Linked DNA regions of Anolis sagrei. The main gene of each other region encodes a partner of the protein of the gene in region 3 in a complex. Links are inferred from orthologs where the notes say so. Each region holds a gene or a part of one and is shown on either strand. Other genes may lie near its edges.

What was found.
Region 1: the proteins of guanine nucleotide-binding protein G(q) subunit alpha (region 3) and PLCB3 are in contact, whole or in part, in a cryo-EM structure (PDB 8UQO), measured with the Homo sapiens proteins. The link is inferred for Anolis sagrei from reciprocal best matches to the Homo sapiens genes GNAQ and PLCB3. Residues at the interface, in NP_002063.2 of Homo sapiens: Pro185, Thr186, Thr187, Ile189, Glu191, Pro193, Arg202, Gln209, Arg210, Ser211, Glu212, Arg213, Arg214, Lys215, Trp216, Ile217, His218, Val240, Glu241, Glu245, Glu249, Glu250, Ala253, Leu254, Arg256, Thr257, Ile258, Thr260, Tyr261; in NP_000923.1 of Homo sapiens: Pro257, Arg258, Leu259, Asn260, Glu261, Val262, Leu263, Arg707, Asp709, Lys710, Ile719, Asp721, Gly722, Ile723, Val724, Ala725, Ser845, Asp846, Tyr847, Ile848, Pro849, His852, Tyr855, Ala856, Ala858, Leu859, Ile860, Asn861, Pro862, Ile863.
Region 2: the proteins of guanine nucleotide-binding protein G(q) subunit alpha (region 3) and F2RL1 are in contact, whole or in part, in a cryo-EM structure (PDB 9D0A), measured with the Homo sapiens proteins. The link is inferred for Anolis sagrei from reciprocal best matches to the Homo sapiens genes GNAQ and F2RL1. Residues at the interface, in NP_002063.2 of Homo sapiens: Arg37, Ile323, Tyr325, Asp346, Ile348, Leu349, Gln350, Asn352, Leu353, Glu355, Tyr356, Asn357, Leu358, Val359; in NP_005233.4 of Homo sapiens: His108, Pro109, Ala110, Met114, Gln172, Arg173, Val176, Ile177, Pro180, Met181, Gly182, His183, Ser184, Arg185, Met265, Met268, Leu269, Met274, Asp275, Asn277, Lys280, Lys281, Arg284, Ala285, Leu288, Ile289, Tyr344, Tyr345, Val347, Ser348.
Region 4: the proteins of guanine nucleotide-binding protein G(q) subunit alpha (region 3) and CASR are in contact, whole or in part, in a cryo-EM structure (PDB 8SZG), measured with the Homo sapiens proteins. The link is inferred for Anolis sagrei from reciprocal best matches to the Homo sapiens genes GNAQ and CASR. Residues at the interface, in NP_002063.2 of Homo sapiens: His63, Leu196, Gln197, Ser198, Ile323, Tyr325, Ile337, Arg338, Phe339, Phe341, Ala342, Lys345, Asp346, Ile348, Leu349, Gln350, Leu351, Asn352, Leu353, Glu355, Tyr356, Leu358, Val359; in NP_000379.3 of Homo sapiens: Lys644, Ala645, Asn647, Arg701, Val702, Leu704, Val705, Phe706, Ala708, Lys709, Ile710, Pro711, Thr712, Phe714, Phe801, Arg873, Thr876, Ala877, His879, Ala880, Phe881, Val883, Ala884, Arg886, Ala887, Thr888, Leu889.

What each region holds. Positions count from the first base shown.
Region 1 is NC_090032.1:16,250,926-16,258,580, reverse strand, and holds the start of PLCB3 (1-phosphatidylinositol 4,5-bisphosphate phosphodiesterase beta-3), read right to left. Parts: upstream 3,004-7,655; 5' UTR 2,881-3,003; coding exon 2,782-2,880; intron 1-2,781. UniProt on the Homo sapiens protein: Catalyzes the production of the second messenger molecules diacylglycerol (DAG) and inositol 1,4,5-trisphosphate (IP3).
Region 2 is NC_090022.1:264,603,909-264,611,009, forward strand, and holds the start of F2RL1 (proteinase-activated receptor 2), read left to right. Parts: upstream 1-4,096; 5' UTR 4,097-4,235; coding exon 4,236-4,308; intron 4,309-7,101. UniProt on the Homo sapiens protein: Receptor for trypsin and trypsin-like enzymes coupled to G proteins.
Region 3 is NC_090022.1:225,883,411-225,891,260, reverse strand, and holds the start of guanine nucleotide-binding protein G(q) subunit alpha, read left to right. Parts: upstream 1-4,834; 5' UTR 4,835-5,831; coding exon 5,832-5,967; intron 5,968-7,850.
Region 4 is NC_090022.1:198,540,902-198,547,918, reverse strand, and holds the start of CASR (extracellular calcium-sensing receptor), read left to right. Parts: upstream 1-4,013; coding exon 4,014-4,198; intron 4,199-7,017. UniProt on the Homo sapiens protein: G-protein-coupled receptor that senses changes in the extracellular concentration of calcium ions and plays a key role in maintaining calcium homeostasis.

The DNA.
Region 1 (7,655 bases), on a different chromosome or scaffold from region 3:
GAAGGAGAGAGTGAGAAGGAGGGAGGGAGTAGGGGAAGGAAAGAAGGATGGAAAGAGAGAGGGAAGAGAGAGAAAAAGAGTAAAGAATGAAAGATAGAAGAAGGAAGGAAAGCAAGAGGAAGTGAGAGAGAGAGAGAAGGAAGGAAGGAAGGGGAGAGAGGAAGATGGGGGAAAGATGGATGGAAAGAGAGAGGGAAGGAAAGGAGAAAGGAGAAAGAAAGTGGGTGAGAGAAAAGGAAGGAAGGAAAGAGGAAGAGAGAGAAATGAAGGGAGCAAGAAGGAGGGAGGGAATAGGGGAAGGAAGGAAGGATGGAAAGACAGAGGGGAGAGAGAAAGAAAGTAAAGAATGATAGATGGAGAAGGAAGGAAAGGAAGAGGAAGCGAAAGAGAGAGAAGGAAAGAGAGGGAGAGATTCAAGGATGGAAAAAAAGATGGATGGAAAGAGAGAGACGGAATGAAGGAAATGAGAAAGTGGGGGGGGGAGAGGAAGAAGGAAGGAAAGGAAGAGAGAAAGTGAAGGAAGAGAGCAAGAGAGAGAAGGAAGGAGTAGGAGAGGAAAGAATGATGGAAAGAGAGAGAAGGAAGGAAAGTAAAGAAGGAAGGAAGGAGAGAAAGAGGGGGAGGAAATAGGCTGGAAAGAGAGGGGGAAGGAAAAAGAGAGGAAGGGAGGAGAAAAAGAAGCAAGGAAAGTAAAGAAGGAAGGAAGGAGAGTGAGAAAGGGGTAAGAAATGAGGATGGAAAGAGAGAGGGAAGAATGAGCAAGAGAAAGAAGGAAAGAGAGAGAAAAGGAAGGAAAGGGAAAAGTGATGGAAGGGGGGAGAAGGAAGGAGGGAGTAGGGGAGAAAAGAAGGATGGAAATAGAGAGAAGGAAGGAAAGTAAACAAGGAAGGAAGGAAGGAAGGAAGGAAAGAGGAGGAAGAAATAGGCTGGAAAGAGAGGGAAGGAAAGAAGAGAGGAATGTAAGGAAGAGAAGAGAGGGAAGGAAGGAAGGAGGGAAAGCAAGAGGAAGGAAGAGAGATGGAGAAAGTAGGGGGAGGAAAGAAGGATGGAAAGAGAGAGAGAAGGACGGAAGGAAGGAAGGAAAGAAGGCAGGAAGGAAGGAAGAAAAGAAAGAAAGAGAGAGGAAGGAAGAGAGAGAAGAAAGGAGGGTGTAGGAGAGGAAAGAAGTATGGAAAGAGAGAGAATGAAGGAAGGAAAGAAAGAAAGAGGAAGGAAGAGAGAAAGAAGGAAGTAGGGAGTAGGGGAGGAAAGAAGGATGGAAAGAGAGAGAAGGAAGTAAACAAGGAAGGAAGGAGGAAATAGGCTGCAAAGAGAGGGAAGGAAAGAATAGAGGACTGTAAGGAAGGAGAGAGAGAAGGAAGGAATGAAAGTAAGAGGAAGGAAGAGAGAGAAAGGGGAAGTAGGGGGAGAAAAGAAGGATGGAAAGAGAGAGAAGGAAGGAAGGAAAGTAAACAAGGAAGGAAGGAAAGAGGAGGAAATAGGCTGGAAAGAGAGGGAAGGAAAAAGAGAGGACTGTAAGGAGGGTAAGAGAGAGAGAAGGAAGGAAGGAAGGAAGGAAGGAAGAAGGAAGGTAAGCGGAAGAGAGAGAAGGAGCGAGTAGGGGGAGGAAAGAAGGATGGAAAGAGAGAAGGAAGGAAGGAAGGAAGGAAAGAGGAAGGAAGAGAGAAAGAAGGAAGGAGGGAGAAGAAGAAGGAAAGAAGGATGGAAAGAGAGAGGGAAGGAAAGAAAGAAAGAGGAAGAGAGAGGGAAGGAGGGAGTAGAGGGAGGAAAGAACAGTGGAAAAAGGGAAGGAAGGAAGGAAGAAGGGAGAGAAAGAGAAGGATGGAGGGAGGGAGTAGAGGAGGAAAGAAGGATGGAAAGAGAGAGAATGAAGGATGGAAAGGAAGAGGAAGGAAGAGAGAGAGAAGGAAGGAGGGAGTAGGGGGAGGAAAGAGAGAAAGAAAGAAAGAAAGAAAGAGGAAGGAAGAGAGAGAGAAGGAAGGAGGGAGTAGGGGAAGGAAAGAGAGAAAGAAGGAAAGAAAGAAAGAAGAAGGGGGAGGGAGAGAGAAGGAAGGAGGGAGTAGGGGAAGGAAAGAGAGAAAGAAGGAAAGAAAGAAAGAAAGAAGAAGGGGGAGGGAGAGAGAAGGAAGGAGGGAGTAGGGGAAGGAAAGAGAGAAAGAAGGAAAGAAAGAAAGAAGAAGGGGGAGGGAGGGAGAAGGAAGGAGGGAGTAGAGGGAGTTAAGAACAGTGGAAAGAAGGAAGGAAAGAGGAAGGAAGAGAGAGAAGGGGGGAGGGAGAGAGAAAAGGAAGGAAGGAGGGAGTAGAGGAGGAAAGAAGAGTGGAAAGAGGGAAGGAAGGAAAGAAAGAAGAAGGGAGAGAGAGAGAAGTAGGGAGGGAGTAGGGGAGGAAAGAAGAGCGGAAAGTGGGAAGGAAGAAACGGAGAAAGCAAGAAAGAAGAGAGGGGAGGAGGGGAGGAAAGAAAGGGTAGAAAGAGAGAAGGAAGGAAAGGAGAGAGAAAGGAAAGCAGGAAGGAGAGAGAGAAACGTGGAGTGAGGGAGGGAGGGAGGGAAAGAAAGGGAAGGAAGGAGAGAGAAGGAACGAAGGAAGGAGTGAGAGAGAAGAAAGGAGGGGAGAGAGAAACGTGGAGGGAGGGAGGGAGGGCAGGAAAGGAAAGAGAGGGAAGGAAAGAAAGAAAAGAAGGAACGAAGCAAGAAGAGAGAGGGGAAGAAAAGTAAAGAAGGAAGGGAAGAGAGAGAAAGAAAGAGAGAGAGAGAGTGGAGGAAGGCAGGCACACTCACTCACCTCGTCCCACTTCATGAACTTGCTGCCCTTGAGGAGGGTCTCGTGGACCTTCAGGGGCTCCAGCTGGAGGGCATGGACCCCCGGGCGGCCCCCAGCCATGGCGCCCCCTCCCCGGAAAGCCAAGCCAAGCCTTTGCCTTTGCCTTTGCCTTGCCTTGCCTTGCCTTGCCTTGGCTGCTTGCTTGGGCCGGGAGGGGCGAGGCTAAGCGAGGCGGGGTCTGCCTTTGGGGACCCTCCCTTTCCTCCTCCTCCTCCTCCTCCTTTTGGGAGGAGCCCCATTCCCTCTCATACCTCAGAACTCTGTAGCCCAAGCATGGGCCCTCCAGGAGTTTTGGACTCCAACTCCCACAATTCCTAACAGGCGTAGGCTTTGAACTGGATTATAATATTCCACACCTGGAGTATTGTGTCCAATTCTGGGCACCACCATTGAAGAGAGATGTTGACAAGCTGGAATGTGTCCAGAGGAGGGAGACTCAAATGATCAACAAACCCTATGAGGAGCGGCTGAAAGAGCTGGTGAAGTTTAGCCTGCAGAAGAGAAGGCTGAAATCGCCTAGCATCTTGGATGGAGGGCAATTAATAAGTAATTAAATGATGATGATGATGATGATGATGATGATGATGATGAGAGAAGGCTGAGAGGAGACATGATACCCCTGTATAAATATGTGAGAGTTGACAAGCTGGAATGTGTCCGGAAACGGCGACTCAAATGATCCAGGGTCTGGAGAACAAGCCCTATGATGAGCGGCTTAAAGAGCTGGGCATGTATAGCCTGACAAAGAGAAGGGCAAGAGGAGACATGATAGCCTGGTATAAATATGTGAGAGTTGACAAGCTGTCCAGAAACGGTGACTCAAATGATCAAGGGTCTGGAGAACAATCCCTATGAGGAGCGGCTTAAAGAGCTGGGCATGTATAGCCTGACGAAGAGAAGGTTGAGAGGAGACATGATAGCCTGGTATAAATATGTGAGAATTGACAAGCTGTCCAGAAACGGTGACTCAAATGATCAAGGGTCTGGAGAACAATCCCTATGAGGAGCGGCTTAAAGAGCTGGGCATGTTTAGCCTGAAGAAGAGAAGGTTGAGAGGAGACATGATAGCCCTGGATAAATATGTGAGAGTTGACAAGCTGGAATGTGTCCGGAAACGGCGACCCAAATGATCAAGGGTCTGGAGAACAAGCCCTATGAGGAGCGGCTTAAGGAGCTGGGCATGTTTAGCCTGAAGAAGAGAAGGCTGAGAGGAGACATGATAGCCATGTATAAATATGTGAGAGCTGACAAGCTGGAATGTGTCCGGAAACAGCGACCCAATGGCTTCTCTGTGTAGTCTGACATGGTGGTTGTTGTTGTGGTCCAGCATTTCTGTGTTCTCAAATAATATGCTGTGTCCAGGCTGGTTCATCAGGTGCTCTGCTATGGCTGACTTCTCTGGTTGGAGTAGTCTGCAGTGCCTTTCATGTTCCTGGATTCGTGACTACACAGAGAAGCCACTGAAATCCACAAGCATGTGGACAATTTCAACAGAAAGGAAGAGACCATGAAAATGAACAAAATCTGGCTACCAGTATTTAAAAACTCTAAAATTACAACAGCAAAACAGCAGAGAGGAAACAACCAGGCACATCTTAACACCTCTCAACAAAAGATTTTCCCAGGCTCAGCCAGGCCTTCAAATGGTAATGAAGGTAGTCAGTTGAAACATTCACACCTAGCTCCAGCAGAGAAGAGCTCTTTGCCCCACCCCAGCCATTCCACAGATATATAAACCCATTGTCCTAATTCCAACAGACCTCACTACCTCTGAGGATGCTTGCCATAGATGCAGGCGAAACGTCAGGAGAAATGCCTCTAGAACTTGGCCCTATAGCCTGAAAAAACCCACAAGAACCTAGTGATTCCAGCCATGAAAGCCTTCGACAATACAATTTTAACAAATATAAACTTATTAGTATTTCAATGGGAAGTGTGGGCCTGCTTTTGGCTGATGAGATAGGATTGTTGTTGTTGTTGTGTGCTTTCAAGTTGTTTCAGACTTAGGTTGACCCTGAGCGAGGGCCGGGTAAACGACCTTGGAGGGCCGTATCCGGCCCGCGGGCCTTAGTTTGAGGACCCCTGGTACACAGCAAATAGAGGAATTGCACCCAGCCAAACACGGACCTGGACCAAACTTGGCACACGGACCCATCCGTGCCGGACTTGTAGTTCGCACTGCATTTAGAGATATTACCAAAATAAGTGAGAAATGTTGGAATATTTGCCTTTAGATTGTAACAACAGCGCTGCACTCTGCTTTCCTCATTTCTTTGAAAGGGAAAGTACCAAACAAGAAAATAAACTGTGGACAAACTGGTTTTCTTGCCTCGAACAGGCTGTGCAAGATCCGCTGCCATTCATTTCAATCAGCTTCCACTCCCTTCTCTAGTTTCCCTGACTTTATAATAGCTTACACTACTTTATTTCTAGTTTAAAAGTGAGACAAATCTAATTCCGATTCATGTTACGAGTGGAATCTAAAACATCTGGAGTGCCCAAGGTCTGCCTGGAAGCAAGACTGGGAATCATGCAACTTTGCAGATATTCAACTATCAATCAATGGCTTGTACTTACTTAGACAATCCCTCATTGTCCAAGTGTGATGGCTGTTGGAGTTCAGCGTGTGGTTGTGTTTCAGGATCAGGGTGCTTTGGATGTGGGGAATGATGTTAATGAGGTTCTGAAATGGCAGGGAGAAGGTTTGAGGGAAAGAGGCAAAGAGAGTCCCTGAGGTCTGAAAAAGTACGGTTTATTCTCAGTTGGTATGGACCCTGCTGGTAGTCCAGAGACAGGGCACCAAACAAAGAAAAGCCTTGGTTTATATACCCTTTAACATAATATGCATGCATCATACAGGCATCATAATGTGCCTCACAAAATTCTACTTTTACATTTATTTATTAATTAATTTATTTACTTTATTTGTATACCGTTCTCAGCCCTTAGGCAACTCAGAGCGGTTAACAACAAACAGCAGCAACAATTCAATGCTATCATCATACAAACCATTTAAAAACAATTAACATAATAATACACTAAGCAATTAACATCAATAAACCTCAGTAAACAACTCATTAGCGTCTCATAACTAAAATAATAATCCAAGCTCATCATCCGTAGTTCCGATTTCCTATAATTCATTATAATTCATTGCACTGCCTATTCAAACGCCTGTTCAAATAACCAGGGTTTCACTTTCTTCCGAAATGCCATTAATGAGGGAGCCGATCTAATGTCTGTGGGAAGGGCGTTCCACCACCGAGAAGGCCCTGTCCCTCGTCCCCGCCAACCGTGCCTGAGTTGCAGGCGGGACCGAGAGCAGGGCCTCCCCAGAAGATCTTAAAGTCCTAGTGGGTTCATAGGCGGAGATGCATTCGGATAGGTAACTTGGGCCAGAACCGTCTTTAGGGCTTTATAGGCCAACACCAGCACTTTGAATTATGCCCGGTAGCAAATTGGTAGCCAGTGGAGTTGGCACAACAGAGGAGTTGTATGCTCCCTGAGCGCCGCTCCTGTTAGTATAGCTGCCGAACGTTGAACCAGTTGAAGCTTCCGAGCAGTCTTCAAAGGCAACCCCAAGTAGAGAGTGTTGCAGTAGTCTAAACGGGATGTAACCAGAGCGTGGACTACCGTGGCCAAGTCAGACTTCCCAAGGTACGGGCGCAGCTGGCACACAAGCTTTAGCTGTGCAAATGCTCCCCTGGTCACCGCCGAAACCTGGGGTTCCAGGCTCAGCGATGAATCCAAGATCACACCCAAGCTGCGAACCTGCGTCTTCAGGGGGAGTGCGGCCCCATCCAACACAGGCTGTAACCCTATGCCCTGTTCGGCCTTGCGACTAACCAGGAGTACCTCTGTCTTGTCTGGATTCAGTTTCAATTTGTTCGCCATTGTTTGACTTCAATGGCATATTTTAACTTCAACACCTGTCAGTCTTCATTTAAGCACCTTTATCTAAGGAGCTGCTATTAATGAGAACCATGCACCAGAGTGTCTACTAGGCCACTGATAGCAAAGAGCTTCCATCCATCTTGAGATAAGTTCTTCCTGAAGCCTCTTGATGGCCAGCTCATTAATCTTAGAATAGGAGCCCCCGGTGGATTGAAGACCGACAGGTCGCAGGTTCGAATCCGGGGAGAGCTCCCTCTATCAACTCCAGCTCCTCATGCGGGGACATGAGAGAAGGCTCCCACAAGGATGATAAAAACATCAAATCATCCGGCCGTCCCCTGGGCAACGTCCTTACAGATGGCCAATTCTCTCACACCAGAAGCGACTTGCAGTTTCTCAAGTCGCTCCTGACACGACAAAAAAAAATCTTAGAATCATAGAATTATAGAGTTGGAAGAAACCTCATGGCCCATCCAGTCCAACCCCTTTCTGCCAAGAAGCAGGAAAACTGCATTCAACGCACCCCAACAGATGGCCATCCAGCCTCTGCTTAAAAGCTTCCAAAGAAGGAGCCTCCACCACACTCCGGGGCAGAGAGTTCCACTGCTGAACGGCTCTCACAGTCAGAAAGTTCTTCCTAATGTTCAGGTGGAATCTCCTTTCTTGTAGTTTGAAGCCATTGCTCCATTGCGTCCTAGTCTTCAGGGCAGCAGAAAATAAGCTACTACTGCAACGTTCTCTCCGTGGGGTTGCCTCTGAAGACTGCCCGGAAGCTCCAATTAGTCCAACGAGCGGCAGCCATATTACTAACAGGAGCAGAATACAGGGAGCATACTATTCCTCTGTTGCGCCAGCTCCACTGGCTGCCGATTAGCTTCCGAGCACAATTCAAAGTGCTGGTGTTGACCTATAAATCCTAAACGACTCCAGCCCAGTTTACC
Region 2 (7,101 bases), about 39 Mb from region 3:
CTATTATTGTTTTTCTCTCCCTTTTTTGAGGATTGCTTTATATATGAATGTCAGAATTTCTACTCAGGCTAAACGAATAATTATTTTCCTATTGTAATTCTATCCTTTTAGTGAGCTAAATTGTCGATTGGGGCCAGTGTTGTAAGAGATCTAGACTAAAAAAAATCAGATTGTTATTCTCAACTAGACTGGCTGAATCAACTGGACAAGTATAGAATCATAGAATCATAGAATCAAAGAGTTGGAAGAGACCTCATGGGCCATCCAGTCCAACCCCCTGCCAAGAAGCAGGAATATAACGTATAACGTTTAATAAGTACAATTTGCACAATACAGGCACTCCAGCAGAGATTAATAACTATAATCACATGATGGATGTATTATTAAAATGCATAGACCAGAATATACATCTGAGCTAAACATTTAACCTATGATGTTTTTGAAAAGCAATCAAATTAACAATAAAAGTGAGAGGCAATAGCCAATAAAACTACATAGCCAACAAAGATGCAGTAAAATCTGAAATGCACTGGTGGCCATTCGGGAAGATGGATTTGCAAGTGCATGTCAGAATCCCTGTGGTGCATTCCATCTGAATTGCCCTGTTATTTCACTATTGTATTCTACCCAATTGCATCCTTTTGGGAATGGCTTCTTTTAACTTCTTCTCGCAATAGAGAAATATGTGTGAAGCCTTATCTACTTCAACAGTGGCGACTACCTCTCCTGTCCCCATTTCCCACAAGACTCCTACTAGGAATCTTTTTTTTTTAATCTGATGCTGGGAACCTGCCACCTCTCTGTGTTGTTAATGCTTCAAGGGGGAGAAGGCTAGAAGTGCTTTTGATTTTCATTCAAAAGTAGGCAAAACAAAAATGTGAAGATAATGACAAAAGTGAAAAAAACTTTCCACCAATATTATCATTTTAATACATTTTACAACATTTCAAGGAATGTTATAATAACTCTAGAAACTGCTTCTCCATAGGTTATAGTGGGACCGCAGGCCACCCATCATTGGTTTAAATAGCGAACAGAATAGGGGAAAAGACAGATAAATCTTCACTTTTGCTCTGTTTTCTATTTTTGTGTTCCAGTCGCCAATTATTAACAAGAGATTGTGTTTAATCACCCCAATATTTCTTGGGTTTTCATTTCCAGAATACAAGACTGTGTAATTCTGACTCAAAATGTCTCATTCCTGATCAGTTTAGCTCACTCGCCCCAAGTATTGCACTGTTACACATTCCATTTCTTGTTTTGCTTGAGCAAACTTCTCCTGATTCATGCTTCTTATTTTCCATGTTCCTATTGTGCAGCTTTGGACTTTCCTTTCACCTCTGACTGTGTCAGCAGCTGAGCATTCTTTCAGGTTTTTTGTGTGTCAGGAGTGACTTGAGAAACTGCAAGTCGCTTCTAGTGTGAGAGAATTGGCTGTCTGCAAGGACGTTGCCCAGGGGACACCAGGATGTTTTGATGTTTTACCATTCTTGTGGGAGGCTTCTCTCATGTCCCCACATGAGGAGCTGGAGCTAACAGAGGGAGCTCATCCGCGCTCTCTCTGGATTCGAACCTGCGACCTGTTGGTCTTCAGTCCTGCCGGCACAGGGGTTTATCCCACTGCACCACCAGGGGCTCCATTCTTTCAGCTGGGGTGCAGTGAAGCTGTTAGACAGCCCTACAGAATAATATATCTTCCCTTTCTATGATTAGAAATGAATTAAGCATAGGAAAGATCTTCTGAAGATGCCAGATGCAGGTGAAACATCAGGAGAAAATGTTGCTAGAACATGGCCACACAACATTTCAGTGAGTCTGGCCATGAAAGCCTTTCACAATATGTGGGAAGGATTACTCCTAGATGAGAATGAATATAGGTTTAAAACTTAACCACCTAAGTAAAAAACTCAGTGATTTATTCTATGTATGTATGTATGAGGAAGCCCACCTGGAAAACTGTGTCCAGTTCTGGGTACCATAATTCAAGAAGGATATTGACAGGCTGGAATGTGTCCAGCAAAGGGTGATGAAAATGAGCAAAGGTTTGGAAACCAAGCCCTATGAGGAATTAGATATGTTTAGCTTGGAGTTTAGCTCGGTTCCGGCCCAGCTTACCTGTCCAAACGTATCTCCTTCTGTGAACCATTTCAGAAGTTAAGATCATCTGGGGAGGCCCTTCTCTCAGTCCCACCCCCCTCGCAGGTGTGACTAGTAGGGACAAGAGACAGGGTCTTCTCAGTGGTGGCTCCTCGACTATGGAACTCCCTCCCCAACTAAATTAGATCAGTGCCCTCCCTCCTGACCTTCAGAAAAAAAGTAAAACTTGGCTATGGGACCAAGCCTTTGGGCAGTAAGCAATACAAGGAATGATCAGGGATTATATGTAATTGATATTTGATATTTGGAATGGACTTGGACCATAATTTCCGGATTATGTGATTGTAATGTTTATTTCTGATATGTTTTTAACTCCACATGTTAATGTTTAAATGTTGTTATGTTTTTATGATATAGTCGATAGTTTTATGATATAAAGAGTGCTATTCAATGAATTTTGGATATAGAGGCACAAAAAGATATAGCCACCCTCAGTAAGGTTGCCACCTTAAAATGGCCGAGTCAATATAAACCTATCTTTCAAATTGCCAACTAAAAATGCAAATGCCAAAACATTTTAGGGGAGGTATTCACTTGAGCTAGATCTGATCAGCTTGATACAATGGTCGGATATGGGAAATTTAACAGCATCCCTTATAATGAATGGATTTGTATCTGCGAAGCACCTGAAATTCAGGATATAGACACATATTATTTGATTGTAAATTGTATCAGGAGGTGAGAGATTTCTACCTTGGTCCATACATCAAACGGACAATGTATTAGGAATCTCATATCAGAAAAAATATATTTTATGTATGGCCCAAAATTAGCATATAAAACAACTCTATATTTAAGCAAAACAATACATTTGAGAAGTACATATGTGGGGCTGATTGGGATAAATTTTATTTTATTTATCATATCAGGAGTGAACAAATGTAGATGCAGACTGTGGCCAGGAAATCAGAAGACGCTTACTTCTTGGGAGGAGAGCAATGTCCAGTCTCGATAAAATAGTAAAGAGTAGAGACATCAGACTGGCAACAAAGATCCGCCTAGTCAAAGCCATGGTATTCCCTGTAGTAACCTATGGATGTGAGAGCTGGACCTTAGGGAAGGCTGAGCAACGGAAGATCGATGCTTTTGAGCTGTGGTGTTGGAGGAAAGTTCTGAGAGTGTCTTGGACTGCGAGAAGATCCAACCAGTCCATACTTCAAGAAATATAGCCTGACTGCTCATTGGAGGAAAGGATAGTAGAGGCCAAGATGAAGCACTTTGGTCACACAATGAGAAGAAAGGAAAGCTTAGAGAAGACAACGATGCTGGGGAAAAAGGAAGGAAAAAGGAAGAGGGGCCCACCAAGGGCAAGATTGATGGATGGTATCCTTAAAGTGACTGGATTGACCTTGAAGGAGCTGGGGGTGGTGACAACCGACAGGGAGCTCTGGCGTGGACTGGTCCATGAAGTCACGACTGAACTAATGAACAACAACAAAGATTTATACCCTGCTTCATCTCTCAAAAATGGCTGCCAGAATCCCCCAGCATGGAGCCATAGCAGTCCATGTGCTATTAAACTGCACTGACTTCACAGCAGGCATGGGCCAACTTGGGCCCTCCAGGTATTTTGGGCTTCAACTCCCACCATCCAATGTTACTTTCAGTGCAGCAAAGCCTCAATTTGAAGCATCTTTGGGTGCATCTACACTAGGCACAGGCCAACTTGGGCCCTCCAGGTGTTTGGATTTCAACTCCTATAACTCCTAACAGCCTCAGGCCCCTTCTTTTCCCCCCTCAGCCGAAAAGGAAAGGGCCTGAGGCTGTTAGGAATGGTGGGAGTTGGTCCAAAACACCTGGAGGGCCCAAGTTGGCCCAGGCCTGCTTTAGAGTGGGCGCTGTGCGTCCTCCTCCTCCTCCTCTTTCGGCCGGAATTCCAGGACGCTGAGCTCACCTGGGCGCGGGGGCGGGTGGAGTTGGCGGTGACGCCACGAAGGTGCTGCTAAGCCCCGCCCCCTGGGCTCTCCTCCTCCTCCCCCGCCCTCCCCTTGAGGTGCCACCGAAACTCCGGAGGCTCCGACCACAGGAGAAGGAAGCGCTCTCTCTCCCGATTCGGACGCGGGACTCGTGCCTGGAGAATGGGGCGCCTCGGCCGGGCTTGGCTGGGCACCCTGGCCTTGGGGGCAGCTCTGGTGGCCGCTTCAGCAACAGGTGAGATAGGGGGAAGCGACGTTCACCTTTCCCCAGGTGGGGTGGGGCAGGGAAGGGGCCGGGACTGGGGAAAATGGAGCTTTGGGGGTGGGAAACAGCGCCCGGAATCCCCACCGGTGAGGGTTGCAGTCCATCAAGGGGATCTTTCCAGCAAGGGGTAAAGAGGTCCTCCAGTGAAAGATCCACCCCTATGGAGCATCCAGTGTCACTTTCAGTGCAGCAAAGCCTCAATTTGAAGCATCCTTGGGTGCATCTACACTAGGTATGGGGAAACTTCAGCCTTTCAGGTGTTTGGACGTCAACTCCCACCATTCCTAACAGCCTCAGGCCCCTTCCTTTTCCCCCTCAGCCGCTAAGCGGCTGAGGGGGAAAAGGAAGGGGCCTGAGGCTGTTAGGAATGGTGGGAGTTGACGTCCAAACACCTGAAGGGCCCAAGTTCGCCCATTGATCTACACTGTAGAATGAATGCAGACTGATCATGCGCCATGGCTCAATGCTATGCAATCCCAGGATTTGTACTTTGGTGAGGCACCTGCCCTCTTTGCCAGAGAAAACTCAAGAGAAGACCTTGCCAAACTACAACTCCAAGGATTCCATAACATTGAGCCATGGCAATTCAATGTTGGTTTTTTTTCTTCATGTCAGGAGCAACTTGAGAAATTTCAAGTCGCTTCTGGTGTGAGAGAATTGGCCGTCTGCAAGGTCATTGCCCAGGGAACACCCAGATGTTTTGATGTTCTACCATCCTTGTGGGAGGCTTCTCTCATGTCCCCACATTGGGTGCTAGAGCTGACAGAGGGAGCTCATCCACACTCTCCCCAGATTCAAACCTCCAACCTGTCAGTCCTGCCAGCACAAGGGTTTAACCCACTGCACCACCAGGGGCTCCTTATATCCTAGGATCTGTTACCAGATTATATTATTATCCCAGATTGTCTACTAGTGTAGACTCATTTAATCCAGTTCAGAGCAGATAATCTAGGATCAGATCCTGGGATATAGGGCAGCGTAGATCCAGCCTAATACACCATTTTTATAGTAAAGTGATGACACATCAAAACTCATGCCTTGCAAAGGCATACATTACTACTAGATGCTAAGGGAATTCATTATCCAATCAAGAAAATCCAGGTTTCTTTTATACTTCAGAACATGTTTGAATTGCCCAAGAAACCATGATGAAATACTGTTTTAGTTTACATAGTAAACATGTACAAGAAAAGAAAAAGGAGATACTCAAAGGAGAGAGATGAAGAGAAGTGCTCTCTTCCCCTCCTTTTTATATTATCATAGGGCCCTTTCCCACAGGCCCTATATCTCAGGATCCGATCTCAGCTTTTCTGTTTATCCCAGATTATCTGGCAGTGTGGACTCATTCACACGCTCCACGGATTCGAACCTCCGACCTGTCGGTCTTCAGTCCTGCCGGCACAAGGGTTTAACACATTGCACTGAGGGCAATGTTGTGGTGAAACACCATTAATACTACAGCGTAGATGCACCCCTTGGCTTCAAAACCTTGTAGTCCTCCCCCCCCCCTCCCAAACTGTGGAATGGTTCTCAGTTCTTGTGGGTTTTTTCGGGCTATATGGCCATGTTCTAGAGGCATTTCTCCTGACGTTTCCTGTGGAATGGTTCTTCTTACCTTCTCAAATTTCTTCCTAATGTTTAGTCAAATGTTTCTCATTTGAATCCATTGGTTTCAACTCTGCACCTGGCTGCAAGATCTGAGCCCATGTTTACTCTGGGATTTGATAAGTTGAGTGGGACTTGCTCTCAAACCAAGGCAGTTTTTTCTTTTTCTTTATTTTTCATATAAGGAGCGACTTAAGAAACTGCTAGTTTTCTTCTGGTGTGAGACTTTGACTGCCCTGGCTCAATGCTATGCAATTGTGGGAGTTGTAATTTCACAAGGCCTTTAGCCTTCTCTGCCAAAGAATACAAGTGCCTCACCAAACTATCGCTTCCCGAGCCATTAAATTGGCACCAAACTGTGTTAATTCCACAGTCAGATGCACTCCAGGATTTTGTGTGTGTGTGTCAGGAATGACATGAGAAACTGCAACTTGCTTCTGGTGTGAGAGAGTTGGCCGCCTGCAAGAACATTACCCAGGGGACGCCTGGATGTTTGCTGTTTTTACCATATTGTGGGAGACTTCTCTCATGTCTCCGCATGTGGAGCTAGAGCTGAGACAGGAGCTCATGCTGTTTTGTATAAGAGACAACCATTTTATTATGCCACTAGCCATCCCCTGCCACACGTTGTTGTGGCCCAGTCTGTGTATATGTGTTTTCTCTGTGTATATATGTGTATATGTGTGTGTATATATTTGTGTATGCATGTGTGTTTGCATATATATGTATGTGTGTGGTTTTGCACATGCGTTGTAAGGTATTTTTTGGTTTTTGGCTTTTTAAGTCTTTTCTGCTGTGTTTTCCAGTGTTTTTATGAGTGATGGTCACTCGTTGGTCTGATAGGTGTATTATGTCCAAATTTGTTGTCAATTCGTACAATCCACAGATTTGGTATTCAGCGGAAGCCTTGAAACCAAACCCCAGCAGACACCAAGGGCTCAATGTAACAATGTATAAACCACTGACACATTTCGGAGTAAATTTCTCCTCCTTCATGACTGGATATTTTGAGATATATAACACCAAACATGTAGAACTAGTCTGCTAGCTGGTGAGATCAAAAGAAACACACCCAACATGTGAAGCTTGTCAACTGTCTAAAAATAGGTGTTTAATTTGAGCCAATTTGTTATGGGACATAGAATCATAGTGCTGGAA
Region 3 (7,850 bases):
AAATGGTAGGAGGCAAGATTTATGCTGATCACTGCATCTGGTTCTTGCCATTTCACAGATCCTCAGACTCTCTCCAGCCTTGTGTCTTTTACACAAGTAGAAAACAATGGAAGCTATCCTAAAAGGCTATTATAGCAGTACTATATTCCAAAATAAAAACAATTAAAAATCAAAATACAGACAGTCCTCAAGTTACAAACATCCAACTTACAAATGACCCATAGTTAAGGATGAGGCTGAGACAACAGGAAGTGAGAAAAATCTGCTCCTGGGAAGGGAAATTCACTCCTGAAAGATTTATCATGGGGGAAACTTTCTCACCAAACCTTGTTTCCACAACAAGGCAAATTTTTCAAAATCTGAAATAGACAATGAATCAAATGACATAAAGGAAGGCTAGAAAATGAGGTAAAATCTTCTATACAGGAGGCACAGACGATAAAACAAAGACCATAGGAGTGTTAACCCTTCCCTATGCTATCCAAGGCACTTGAAAAATGTGCCTGTTCTGACTTACATATCTTATTCGAAACTTGGGGACTGCCTACACAGAATATTTTGGTCTGAAGCATTTCAGATAAAAGATATGCAACCTGTACTATCTCTTCATGAAGGATTGGTTGAATCAGCCCTGGAGGGCGCAAAAGTATGTATTCTACAACCAGATACCCTCAAGCAAAACAGCACATATGTATATCTGAAAGGAGAATGCCCTTAAGTTGTGCTAAATCAGAACCTAAATCTCTGCATTTACAATATTGCCTATGTTTTGTTCGAATGTGTAACGATCTAAGATCCACAAAGGGGAACACAGTTATGTTCAGGGAACTGTTATAGATGCAATTCTTTAAACCAGGTCATAAATGTGAAATGTAAGATACAATTATTCTGCAATATGAATATTCTTCATTAGAAGTGTCCTATTCATTCCACACTCTTACAGGTAAAGCAGTGAATGCTAACCCAAAGGGAATGTCTTATAGCACTTCAGGGAAGTGGAAAAAACAACCTCAGAGTGTGCCTTGTCTCACGTATCTGGCTAGTTATTATTGGAGATATCTCCATGGTTGTCATGGAGGCCATGAAGTCCCAAGCTGACCCTAAAGAGTCAGTCTTGACATAAATGGTGAGGCTGTTTCTTAACAACAAGCTATTGCCATAGTTGTCATCTTTGTGTGAAAACACAATCATGTGAATCCACTGAAAAAGCATAATGCTTTATTGCCTATCTTCATAATATTGTTCATATTCTATCAGTACCAGCAGTGTACATAGCACCTAACAATTATACAGGCAAAAAAGTCACAAGATGCTTTAATCTGAAATAGACAATGAATCAAATGACATAAAGGAAGGCTAGAAAAGTGGGGGTAGGAAGGGAAGGGAGGAATGTGGGTGATGCAGTTCCAAAACCAAGGATGTAAAATCATGTCAACATTTCAAAAACTGAACTTTGAGAAGAAGAGAGGAAGCATCATATAAAAGTTCAGGAAAGCCATTCAATGCATAGGAAAATTACTTCTTGGTATCATCCTAGAAGGGTAATTTGTAGATACAATTTTATTTTTAAAAACTAAACCAAACATGCTTGTGATTTCTAATGAACTAGACAAAGATAGGGATTGTCTCTTTGTATCTTAACCACAGCTTGCAACTGAAAGTAGTAAATGAACATTTTGCAGGACGAAATGAACTTCAGCCCTCATTAATGTCTGCAAAAAAAAAAAACTACTATCGAAGCACAAATACCGATTAAAATGTTGGCTTGCTCCTTGAAACTGAAGAATCCCTAACAGTAATTCTTTTTATATTTAGAGGAACGCTTACCAAAAGTAAATTCCATATGGATTAAACAAGTGCAATATTACGGATGGCTTAAAGTAGTGGTTCCTAACCAGTGGTCCACAACAACTAAAATGTGGTCCGTGGCCTCACCATTACTACAATATTGCAACGAGAGCGACCTGTCTCGCAAGACCCTCTTATAGTGCTGAGGCTTATTAATTTTTTTTTTTTTTGTGGGCGAGCAGATAGCGACTATTGGATGGCATATGTTCTGTATAAAAAAACTACAGCTGATGTGGTCTATCCAATGCACTTTTCTGACTCAGCACCCCAAATAACCAAACCAGATCTAAAGTTGACCAAAAACTGATTTGTAACCCTTTTGGTACTAATGTTGGAGAGTGGTCCCTGGTCAAAAAAAGATTGGGAACTACTGCCTTAAAGGAAGAAAAGAAAATTGGAAGATAACGTTTCCATGTCTGGTTTGTGATGCCTTTTTTTGTAACACCAGGAATGATTCTATTTTTATTTTTGCACTGGAACCCCATTTGGGCCACTCCATGGCAACTCATTTCCATTAGACCCAGAAACAAGGCCAATTGAGAAGAATGATGGGAGCTGTAGTCCAGTTATTCTAGGGGAATGTAGATTCCACACTACATGCCACTGAAAACAACAGGATTTACACAATACATAGGATCCCTTAAAGAAGATAGGTTTGTGTTAGATCTGTCACAGCAAGAACCTATATACAACATAGAAAAAGTATTGACAGTTATGTAGGTCCCAAATCTGTATTACAAACCAGTACTGCTTTGACCAAAGCAATGGGCACAAAGTCTGTGCAAGCTTTCAAGGTCTCCAGAACTATTTGTCAAGCAAGACAGTGTGAGAAGCAGGATGTCTCCGAGTATGGAACGAGCTGGCTATTCCTTGACCTCTCCCTGGTGTTTTTCACAGCACATGATACATTGACATAGGCAGGTGATGTTTATTTTCTATGTTGTGAAAACTTCTGACTTTTTGCAGGTCCTGCTGCTGTTAAAGGTAAAAGGGCAGGTTGGCAGCAACCCTCTTCTTACATTCTGCCTAAACAATCTTTATACATCCTTCTCTAGCCTTTGCCCAGCTTGAAGGTTTCCAGTTCTGAAACATTGAAGAAAATGGGTTTTCGCTGTGCAGTTCATAGAATCATAGAGTTGGAAGAGACCTCGTGGGCCATCCAGTCCACCCCCTTGCCAAGAAGAAGGAAAAATGCATTCAAAACACCCTCGATAAATGGCCATCCAGTCTCTATTTAAAAGCCTCCAAAGAAGGAGCCTCTGCCACAGTCTGGGGCAGAGAGTTCCACTGCTGAACGGCTCTCACAGTCAGGAAGTTCTTCCTAATGCTCAGGTGGAATCTCCTTTCCTGTAGTTTGAAGCAGTTGTTCTGTGTCCTAGTCTCCAAGGCAACAGAAAGCAAGCTTGCTCCCTCCTCTCTATGACTTCCCCTCACATATTTATACATGGACATCATGTCTCCTCCCAGCCTTCTCTTCTGCAGACTAAACATGCCCAACTCTTTATGCCACTCCTCATAAGGCTTGTTCTCCAGACTCTTGGTGATTGTAATCTCCCTCCTTTGGACACATTCCAGCTGTCAACATCTCCCTTCAACTGCGGTGCCCAGAATTGGACACAGTGTGATTTCAGGTGTAGTCTGACCAAAGCAGAATAGAGGGGTAACATGACTTCCCTGGATCTAGACATGATACTTCTATTTATGCCAGCCAAAATCCCATGGGTTTTTAAGCTCCCGCACGACATTCTTGGCTCATGTTAATTTTCCTGTCCACGAGGACTCCAAGATCTTTTTCACATGTATTGCTGTCAAGTCAGGCACCCCCCTGAGACAACCTTTTCCCATGACTCTTCCAGGAGAGAATTTCCCATTGGGAGGATAGCGTTCTCTCACTTCCTGTTGTCTCACCCACCAACCCCTGAGCTCTTGGTGGTGCAATATGTTAAACCCTTGTGCAGGCAGCACTGAAGACCGACAGGTTGTAGGTTTGAATACGGGAAGAGCGCCGATGAGCTCCCTCTGTCCGCTCCAGCTCCCCATGCAGGGACATGAGAGAAGCCTCCCACAAGGATGGTAAAATATCAAAACATCTGGGTGTCTCCTGGGCAACGTCCTTGCCAATGGCCAATACTCTCACAACAGAAGTGACTTACAGATTCTCAAGTCGCTCCTGACACAAACCAGCCTCCCAAGTCCCCGGATGGCACAATGGGTTAAGCCCTTGTGCTGGCAGGACTGCTGACCAAAAGGCCTGCAGTTAGAATCTGGGGAGTGGCGTGAGCTCCTGTCTGTCAGTTCCAGCTTCTCGTGCAGGGACATGAGAAGCCTCCCACAAGGATGATGAAACATCTGGGCGCCCCTGGTTAACGTCCTTGCAGACAGCCAATTCTCTCACACCAGAAGCAGTTTCTCAAGTTGCTCCTGACACAAAAAAGGGCCCTTCCTTTTGTAAGTCGGATGTTTGTAACTCAGGGATTGCTTTTATTTGGAAGACCTCTTTTTATGTGATTCAACCCAATCTAGATGGAACATCTCATCCAATTCTCCAACGCAGTGGCCTAAAATCCAGGAAGCCTCTTACTAACATACAGAAACTAGACCAAGAATGTACCATTAGACCTCGGCTCTGTTTTTCCGTTTTATTTCCGTGCCCCTTGAACATTGTGTTGACTCTCCCCCCCCCCTTCTAAAAATAAGAAAGACCTTCCATAAGGTGTGATTTGCTTAATTCTGAGAGAAACGGGTGGGAGGGAGAGAGGCGGCAATGAAACAACCACGCGCAAAAAAAAAAAAAAAAGAGGAGGAAAAAAACCCTGCCCTGAAGGATTATTTTGTTTCCAAAAGGGAGGGAAACAAATCGTGGCTGCTTTCCTGTCTGGGGGGGGGGGGGGGGGCTGCGAGTGCAAGAAGGAAGGTGGGGAGGGAGGGAGGGAAGCAAGGGTCGGGAGGCTTTGACTTCGGGGGAAGGAAGCGGAGGAGGAGGAAGAGGGGGCGCGGAAAGAGGGAGGCCAGCCAGCCAGCCAGGAAAAGCTCCGCCATATTTCTGCCTCCACCACGCCCGGGAAGCCGAGCGAGGCAAGGCTACAGATAGGCTCCGGCCTCCGCTCTCGCCAGAAGACCCACAGCCTGGCCCTCCTTGCCTTGCCCCCCTCCGCAGGGGAGGCAGAGAGAGGGAGAAAGAGAGAGAAAAGCAAGCGCTTCCCTGCCTCGGAAGGCAAAGCCCCCCAAACCCCACTGAAGCTTGTGATTGTATCCAAGGCGGGGAAGGCGTCCTTCTTTTCTAGGAAGCTTGTAATTTCCTACAGATAGGATAGAGATTGCGTGGAGGCAGGGCGCGAACAGTCCGCCTCCTGAGGCGGGGAAAGGAAGGAAGGAAAGAAGCAAGGAGGAAGGGAAGGAAGGCAGGAGGGGCAGCCTGGGCGTCCGCTGGCCCTGCGAAGGGGATTCTCGGAGGCCGGGGCGAAAGAGGGCGGGGTCCGAGGGGCGCCTGCCTGGGCTCCTCCTCCTCCCAGTGGATGCCTCCCTGTTGTTTGGCGCAGGGCTGAGGCTGGGAAGGAGGCGGAGGCTCGCCCGGAGGCACAGGGCCGGGCCAAGGTGGGCGAGGGGGCTTCGCGGAAAGGGAAGGCAGGCAGGCAGGCAGGCAGGACTTGCCCGCGCGGTGGGTGCGCCGTGCGCGTCTCCCTCCGCGGGTGCGCCAGGACTCGCTCTTTCCCCCTTCCCTTCCCTTCCTCCTCTCCTCTCCTCTCCCCTTCCCCTCCCTCGGGGCTGGCTCGCTGTCTCCGGGCATTGGGAGGAAGAGGAAAAGGGAGGAGGGCGTCGGCAGAGGGGGTCGCTGCCTCGCCGAGCTCGGAAGCCAAAGGGCGTTTGCTCTCTCCTCCTCCTCCTTCTCTTCTCCAGAGGAGGGGCCCTCCTTCTCTTGTTTGGCTCCCCTGGTTGTGTTCCTTTGGGGGACGGGGCCCCCGCGCCTGAGCCACTGGGGAAGCATGACCCTGGAGTCCATCATGGCGTGCTGCCTGAGCGAGGAAGCCAAGGAAGCGCGGCGGATCAACGACGAGATCGAGAGGCAGCTGCGCCGCGACAAGAGGGACGCCCGGAGGGAGCTCAAGCTGCTGCTCCTGGGTGAGTCGCGCCTCCAGACAGACCCCACGCATCATCCCCACCCCCCCTCCTTCCTCTGTATCCCCTTTCCTCGCCCCCCTTTTGCCCCAGATTGCCTCCCCGCCCCTCAGCCAGGAAACGGGCGCCGCTTCCCTTTTGGATTGCTCTTGGGGCAAAGACCGTCGCCTGGTGGTGGTGTGTGTGCGTTTGTATGTGTCTTTGAGGGCATGAGCCTTGTGGGCTTGGGCTCCTGGTTCGGCGCAGTGGCGAACCTTGTGGCGATGATGATTCACAGCCCAGCAGCCGCAGCTTGGGGGGGGGGGGGGAGGAAGGTGTGTGCGAAGGAGGGGGGGGGGGAGAAAGGAGAAGCCACGCCGAGTCGCGCACCCTCCCCTTTCCCTCCATCCTCCCTTCCATCCCTCCTTTCCTTTCCTTCTCACCTCCCCCCTTCCCTTCCTCCTCCTTTCCTTCCCACCTTCCACCCCTTTCCTTCCCACCTCCCTCCCACTTCCCTCCCCTTTCCTTCCCTCCTTCCTTCTTTTCTTCCATCCCTTCCTCCTCCTTTCCTTTCCATCTCCCTCTCTTCTTTCCTTCCTTCTTCCCCCTTTCCTCTCTCCCTCCCTCCCCTTTCTTCTTCATTTCGTTCCCTTCTCTTCCTCCTCCTTTCCTTCCCACTCCCTCTCCTTTCCTTCCCTTCATCCCCCTTTCCTTGCCACCTTGCTCTCTCTTCTTTCCTTCTATTTCTCCCCCTATCCTTCCCATTTCCCTCCCCCTTTCCTTCCTTCCTACCTCACTCCCCCTCTCCTTCCTTCCTACATCCCTCCCCTTTCCTTGCTTCTTCCTTTCCTTTCTTCCCTTCCTCCTCATTTCCTTCCCACCTCCCTCCCCTTTCCCTCCTTCTTCCTTCCCTTCCTCCTCCTTTCCTTCCCACTCCCTCCCCTTTCTTTCCTTCCCTTCATTCCCCTTTCCTTGCCACCTTGCTCCCTCTTCTTTCCTTCTATTCCTCCCCCTATCCTTCCCATCTCCCTCCCCCTTTCTTTCCTTCCTTCCTACCTCACTCCCCTTCTCCTTCCTTTCTACATCCCTCCCCTTTCCTTGCTTCTTCCTTTCCTTCCTTCCCTTCCACCTCCTTTCCTTCCCACCTCCCTCCCCTTCTTTCCTTCCTTCCCTTCCCATCTCTCTCCCCTTTCCCTCCTTCCTACCTCCCCCCTTCTTTCCTTCCTTCCCTTACCCCCTTTCCTTCCCACCTCTCTCCCCTTTCCCTGCTTCCTTCTTTCCTTCCCACCTCCCCCTTCTTTCCTTCCTTTCTGTTCTCCCCCTTTCCTTCCCGCCTCTCCCCTTTTCCTCCATCTTTCCTTCCCACCTCCCCCTTCTTTCCTTCCTTCCCTTCTTCCCCCTTTCCTTCCTGCCTCTCTCCTCCTTTTCTTTCCATCTCTCCCCCTTGTTTCCTTCCTCCTTTCCCTTCCTCCTCCTTTCCTTCTCACCTCCCACCCCCTTCTTTCCTTCCTTTTCCTCCCTCTCCCCTCCCACCTTCCCCCCTCCTTCATCTTTCTTTCCCTTTGCAACTCCCACCCTCTCGTTCCCAATGAGTGCTTGACTCCCTTCCCCCCCCCTTCACCTTGGGTTTGTTGCCTCTCTTTTTCTGTTTGAAAGCAAAACAGATGTAGGTAGAGGCGAATGGCTCCTTCAGAGTGTAGTGGGTGGCTCTCCATGTGTGTGTGTGTAAGAGAGAGAGACACACAGAGTGGCTAGTTGCCAAAAATGGAGAGAAAAGGAAGCGGGTGGGTGAAAGAGAGAGTGAGCTGGTAAGTGAGGGAGAAGAATTAGAGAGCCATTCAGACACTAGTGTATGGTGGAGAAGGAGGGAAATGTGCACCCCTCTTCTCCCCTCCATTACAGACACA
Region 4 (7,017 bases), about 27 Mb from region 3:
CAATGACCACAGTGTCTGTATTGGTTGCGGAATGCGTTTAGTTAAATAGCCTGGACCCGGACTGTTTAGGGCTTTAGGGCATGTTTATACAAGGACCATTTTATTTATTTTAAAGGTAGTTCAGGCTTTGCTTTGGGATGCTCTTATCTTTCCCTAAAACATAGATTTGTGCTCTTTCCTTATGTTTGTTGGCTGTTATTTCTGATTTGTTGTTAAAAGGTTTTGCGGATTTGATTTTATCACTGAAAACGTAACTGGAAGATGTTAAGCACTTTTTCCACTCATACTGGCTATTTATAGCACTGTTTTCCTTTTTTAAAAATGGTTTCTTTTTCTTAGACTTATCATATTGTTTATGTAAGCCATCTTAAATAGCAAGAAGCATAAAACAATTGCTCTTATAAATAAGTAAAGCTATTTGTGGGGTTGCACTAGTTTCATTTGTCTTTCTGCTTCTAACAAGCAACCAGGGAAATAATTGGAATAGTAGGGAATTTAGTGACATCTCATGATTTGCTTGAAAGTCATAGATTGATAGCATAGCCTAAAGTACAAATGACTTTCCAACTCCATTTATTCATAGGGATACTATGAGAGCAATGGCATGGATTTTAAGGAATGTTTTGAAGCCCAATAGCTTATGAACTGGACATGTTCCGTTTTCTTATTTACTTAGGCAATCCCTTGTTGTCCCAAATATGACAGCCTTCCAAGTGTAGTGATGGTGGTTACATGACTGTGGAGCCCTATTCTTGATTCGCATGTTCTTCCACAGTGAGGGAAGTGCAGGTCTCTTCCAAACACCCTTTATCCCAGAATATCAAAGCAGAAAATCCCACAATATTTGCCTTGAACTGGATTATCTGAGTCCACACTCAGATAATGTGGAATTTTCCGCCTTAATATTCTTGGGTATAGGGCTGTGTGGAAGGGCCCTCAGTTTAAAGTGATGATGGTTACCTTTAAAGTCCTAGATAAATTTGGTCCAAGGCATCTTCCGTTGACCAGAAGCTATCGATATTCTACACATCTCAGCAGAGATCCTCTTCCAAATCTTTCCATGGTCTGTGCATTAGGTGGGTAGTGAAAGAGCAGAATACTTTCTTGATTGTGTCACCCCAAATGTGAAAAAGCCTGGTCCTAAATTTGATGTCCATTTAGAAGCAGGGAAAGACAAAGTTCTGCAACTTTCCGACAGATTTGATAGTAAGTTTCAAGTGGCAGTTTTTCTGTGTACAGTATTTTATGGACTTGCATTGTTGCTACTTCTGTGACAATTATTTCATTGGCATTTGTTTATTTTGGTTATTTACATATGAGAGATGGTTGGCATATTTTACATGGCAAAGTTATAGATCAGTGTAATAACCAAATAATGAAGAACATCTAGGTCAGAGGTATGAATTGTGGCCTTCATGGATATCCAAAGGATTCAGTTCTGCCTTCTATGTTTTCTAACATCTACATGTAGCTGCTAGGGGAAGCCATCTGGAGTGTTGTGGCTGTGTGTCGCCAAAGTTTTGATGATCCCAGATATAGCTGTCCTTTACAACTGTTGGCAGGGAGGTAGTTGAAGTCCTGAGTCATGCAAAGAAGAATTGGATGTCGGCCTACAAATTGAAGATCAAACCATACAAGATAGGAGCACTGATGGTCGGGAGGAAGTCTAACCTGGAATTTGGAATCGTTGCTGTTCTGGGTATGCTTGCACTCCTGGTGAAAGCACAGATTCATAAGGATGCTCTTGGACGTAGGACTGCTTTAAGGCCAGGTAGCTGCAGTGGCCAGGAGTGTACATGTTCTGCTTCAGTTGGTTCAGCTTGGCAATGTTGTGCTATCATGCCTTAGGCCACATCTACACTGATCACTTAAGTCAGTTTCAAACAGGCATTGAAGAAAGTGATTCCACTGAGCAGATTATTACATAGGAAACCCTGGAACCAGTTTGATGCCCCGGCAATTATTACACAGAACATTGATGTGCTTTAAGGGCTTTCTTTCAGACACTTCTTTCTCACAAGAGTCTGTTGTCTATCACCACAGGTTTGAAGCTAGCTTCAAGCTGCATTAAAGGTAGATGGGGCCTTAGTTGCCACCTGGTTAGATTGTTAAACATATTCTATATGATGCTGCCCTGTTCAGGCGCTGCAACTAATACAGCATCCCTACTATTGAAGGTATATGTACTTAAAGACCACATAACCATGAATCTTACAAGAACTGCACTGCCTTCCATTTCACCTTTGATAGTAACTCAGTGTGCTGATTTTGACCAGCAAAATCTTTTTAAAAGCATTGTTCAAGGATATTTGAAAGAACGCCTTCTCTCACATGAGCCTGCCCTAATTTAGAGATCCTCAGGGTTGCATATCTCAGCATCTGATAAGACTAAGTTGGTGTTCATATGGCAGGACCTTCTCTCTAGCAGAACCCTGACTGTAGAATTTCCTGCCAAAAGATGTTTAGCTGGTTCCATCTCTTCTGAGCAGGCAGCTAAAACAGTATTGTTCCATCTAGTCTTTGGTGTTTGATATTGCTCTGCTGTTTTAATTGCCTGCTTTTAAACAGTAAATAAAGAGCAACACTCAAAAACTGGGGAACTCCAGACAAGAAACAATCAGGGACAGCTAATCACATCTCAACAAAGGATTTCCCCAGGCAGCAAGGAGCCTCACCTTAAAACTGCTAGGTCATTAAAAGCTAAGTGGACAATTTCATCAAAAAGGAAGAAACCACGAAAATGAATAAAATCCAGCTACCAGTACAAAAAAAAAAACTTCCAAAATTATAACTGTAAATAAAGAACAACACTAAAACACATGGGAACTCCAGGCAAGAAACAATCAGAGATTGCTAATCACTTCTCCACAAAGGATTCCCCCAGGCAGTAACAAGCCACTTCTAAAAACTGTCAGGCCATCAAATGCTCAGCAAGGTGGCCAACTAAAACATTCATACGTAGCTCCAACAGACAAGAGTTCTTTCTCCCATAGATATAGAAACCCCATTTTCAAGAGTTCTTTCTTCCACAGATATAGAAACCCCATTTTCCTAGTTTCCAACAGACCTCACAATTTCTGAGGATGCCTACCATAGATGTAGGTGAAATGTCAGGAGAGAATGCTTCTGGAACATGGCCATACAGCCCGAAAAACTTACAACAACCCAGTGATTCCAGCCATGAAAAACTTTGACAATACATTGCCTTTAAATTGTTTATGATGAGTGCTTTTAGTTTGTTGTCAGGCTTTCATGGCCGGAATTACTGGGTTGCTGTGAGTTTTCCAGGCCATATGGCAATGTTCCAGAAGCATTCTGTCCTGACATTTCACCCACATCTATGGCAGGGAACCTCAGACCCCTCAACCTCTGCCATAGATGTGGGCGAAACATCAGGAGAGAATGTTTCTGGGACATGACCATACAGCCCAGAAAACTCACAACAACCCATTGTTTTTAGTTTCTTTTTAACATTTGTATCTATATATTTAATCTTTTAATTGTTTTTATCTGATGCGGATCACCATACGGATCCTGGTGAGCAATATCTAAATACTTTTAATAAATGAAAAAATAAAAATAAATGTTGAGAAGCCTAACTTTAAAAGTGCACCTCTGGAGAGGTATGAAGATCCTTATTGTTTAAGGTTAATGTGCTAGTTGTGAGGAATAAAAGATTAATAATGCATTTTGAGGAGGGGAGAGGGGCTCTTTCTCTGAAAGTTCAACATTATTTCTTTGTGCATCTGAGCTGATTCTTTTACATCTGTTCTGTTTTAGGCAAACTAACACTGTAGTGGTCCTCAAGAAGCTGCTGGACTTTGCAGAGTGTAATGAAGAAACCCACTGGTGAGATGGATAACTACAGCTAGTGGATTACCATCAATTAGCCATGTCTGCCAAATCCATCGTGTGCACTGTTCCAAAGAGAAACAGTTTGTTGGAATGTATTACATTTATCCTTCTTACATTTTGAAGTTTGCAAGATAATCCCTTTGTGAAAAGGAGGAACAATGACTTTTTATAGTTTTTATTTGCTTTTCTTTGCGTTTACTTGGAATACCTCTGCCTATGGACCAAATCAAAGGGCACAAAAGAAAGGAGATATTATTCTCGGTGGACTATTTCCCATTCATTTTGGAGTAGCTGCTAAACACCAGGATCTGAAGTCTCGGCCAGAATCTGTAGAGTGCATAAGGTAAGCTTACGCAAAAATATGTAATATACGCTCAAGAACTCCAGTGACCATAGTTCCCATCTCTATGAAGTGAAACCAAATGCTGATTTTGTAAATAGTCTAGAATTTGTCCTGTTGGGTCTTTTTTTAAAGTCATTTCCCACTGTGGTCACAAGTGCTGCCTATCCATGAATGTATGACGTTGTTATATTAAGTTCGGATGTTGGTTCATCTAACCCAGAATGTTATATATCTGTGATTTGAAGGTACTCCATGTATCATATCAGACAACATAGTCTCTAATGCAATTGTTATAGTGTCAGAAGTGACTTGAGAACATACTGTAAGTTGCTTCTGGTGTGGGAGAATCAGTTGTTACCATCCTGTGGGACATTTCTCTCATGTCCCTGCATGGAAAACTGGAGCTGATAGATGGGAGCTCACCCCATCTCGTGGATTTGAACCACCGACCTTCAGGTCAGCAGTTCAGCCATCACAAGGGTTTAACCTATTGCAACACCACAGCTACATTTACCAGTAAAAATGAAATGCACAGATATAGAATAGGTAACACTTTGCTGGAAAACTGTACACGTGAAAGGGATCTAGGAGTCTTAGTACACCACAAGCTGAACATGAGTCAACAGTGTGGTGCGGCAACTCTGGGTTGCATCAATAGAGAAATACTGTCTAAATCAGACCTGCACAATTTCCCAGTAGTAAGGGGCTGAAATTAGATATGCTAAGTCTCTTTGGGCTGCAGATAGCACCTCACTTTTGAATTAAGGTAGAATTGTCCTGAGTTGCCCTTCAAAAACAGCATTTAGACAATGTTGAAAGTAAAAGAAAAATGTTTTACTTCAGCAAATACAAAGGATAAGCAAATACAATTGAAAAGTGCAAAAGAAAGCAAGGTAATCTTAATCCAGACACAAATTAAAGTCTCTTACAATTTCCCAAAAGAAACAGCAGTCTTCCATCAGACAACGGTCAATGAACTAAGTCTTTAGAAGCAGACACAAAGCAGATTCCATTGGAGTGAAAACAGCAGTATCAGGATCGTTGTTACCAGCGAAAGCTGTCTGCTCCTGCTTCTGATTTATAGCCCTGAATTCCCAACGTAGGAGGTGCTAGGGCGTCTCCCAATTAGCTCAGCGTTTTTTAGCAGCTATCTTAGCTGAACACCGTCTGTGCTCTGTCTCTAAGGCTCAGAAAAACAGAAAGTCAATCAAGTGACTCCTGGGTCCTGGGGATTGTTGGCAATCAGTCTCTCAGCGGGGAGTCAAGTGGAAGAATCTGTCTTGTTTCCCAAGACAGCCACATAGTCCAAAGTCACATAAGCACTACATAATATAAATTATGATATTTGATAACCTTGGGTGTTGCCCTGATCAGCTGTACAACAGAAGCACAGTTGTAAAAACAGAATAGTAACATATTGGAGCGGGCAGTTCAATTAGGCAAAGTTTTGCAACAGTGAAGAAGTTAGAAAGGAGAAAAGGAAAGAGACAGTCCCAGAAAACCTGGCAGAGTGAATTTTGTTAATTAAAGAAATGTATGATTTCATGTGTGTGTATATGGATGCAGTCATGCTGGCCACATGACCTTGAAGGTGTCTAAGGACACCGCCGGCTCTTCAGCTTAGAAATGGAGATGAGCACCACACCCCAGAGTGGGGCACGACTGGACTTAATGTCAGGGGGAAACATTTACCTTTACATTATGTGTCGGTGTTTCCTGGGGTGACAAGAAACACCTATACATATCCTTTTATTTTTAATTACCTTGAGGCTGAGAGGGTGGGGCTCAGGAGGTGAGAGAAAGGTCAATCCTGAGTTGTTGGAGTCACAACTTAATCTTGGCTCTAGGGTTCCTTAGATTCACAAAATGATACTTGACCAGATTACGGTGTTAGGTCTTCCTGGACATTCAACTCCCCCCCCCAAAAAAAAACAGTTTCCAAAGCTCATATATCAAGTTTAATTAGCTGCCTGGGAATATGTATATGGTTGTACCCCAGGTTTTGTGAACTGTATGTGACTCTTCTCCCCTGACTTCATTAATAAAGAAAAAAAATATGTGCAAGAGTTCTCTTCCAGTGGCAAGAAAAAAGTAGTTATTTCAATGCAGATGTGCATAGTTTCCTTAATGCGGAAGAGAGAAAAAGAGGGAAATTACCCTGAGAAAGTAGATAATGGAATCTTATGCCTCCCAAGTTTGTCAGATAATAATAAAAATTCAATTCCACTTTACATCTTTTAATTAGGAACTATGAGGTGATGCTTACAAGGAAACAAATCTATTAGCATGGTAAAATTGAATTATTTATAGTGGTCACTTGGACAGCATGACACAGTTGCTGTTCCCACTCAGACCCTATTACATATTTCAAACCCAATAAATTCTGTTTGCAATCCTAAAAAGTGAGTTCTCTGAAAAAATTGCATTTTGTAGTACGGAAGTACTACATCAGTTATGCTCTCTGACATCTTTAATAGAAGCAAACTTTACAAAAGCATCATAAACCTCCAACATGTTACCACATTGAAAGGAAGTCAATCATTGGATTCCCTTTAAGATGCTTCTCCTGATCTCCCTCAGGAAGTGTGAAATTGAATTAGGCAGTCTGCTATTCAAGGATCGTGTTTTGGAGGGAATCACTTTCCATTTTTTTCTTAGCAAACTAGGATTCACTTTCCACTGATTTTTTTTTTGCATCATGTCGAGTAATCTGAAATTTATTTTAATTGGCAATCTTTAAAGGTACAATACTTAAATTCATATCCAGTCCTGACAGCATAAGGAATGTAAGAGACCCACTGAATCTAGCATACAAAGTT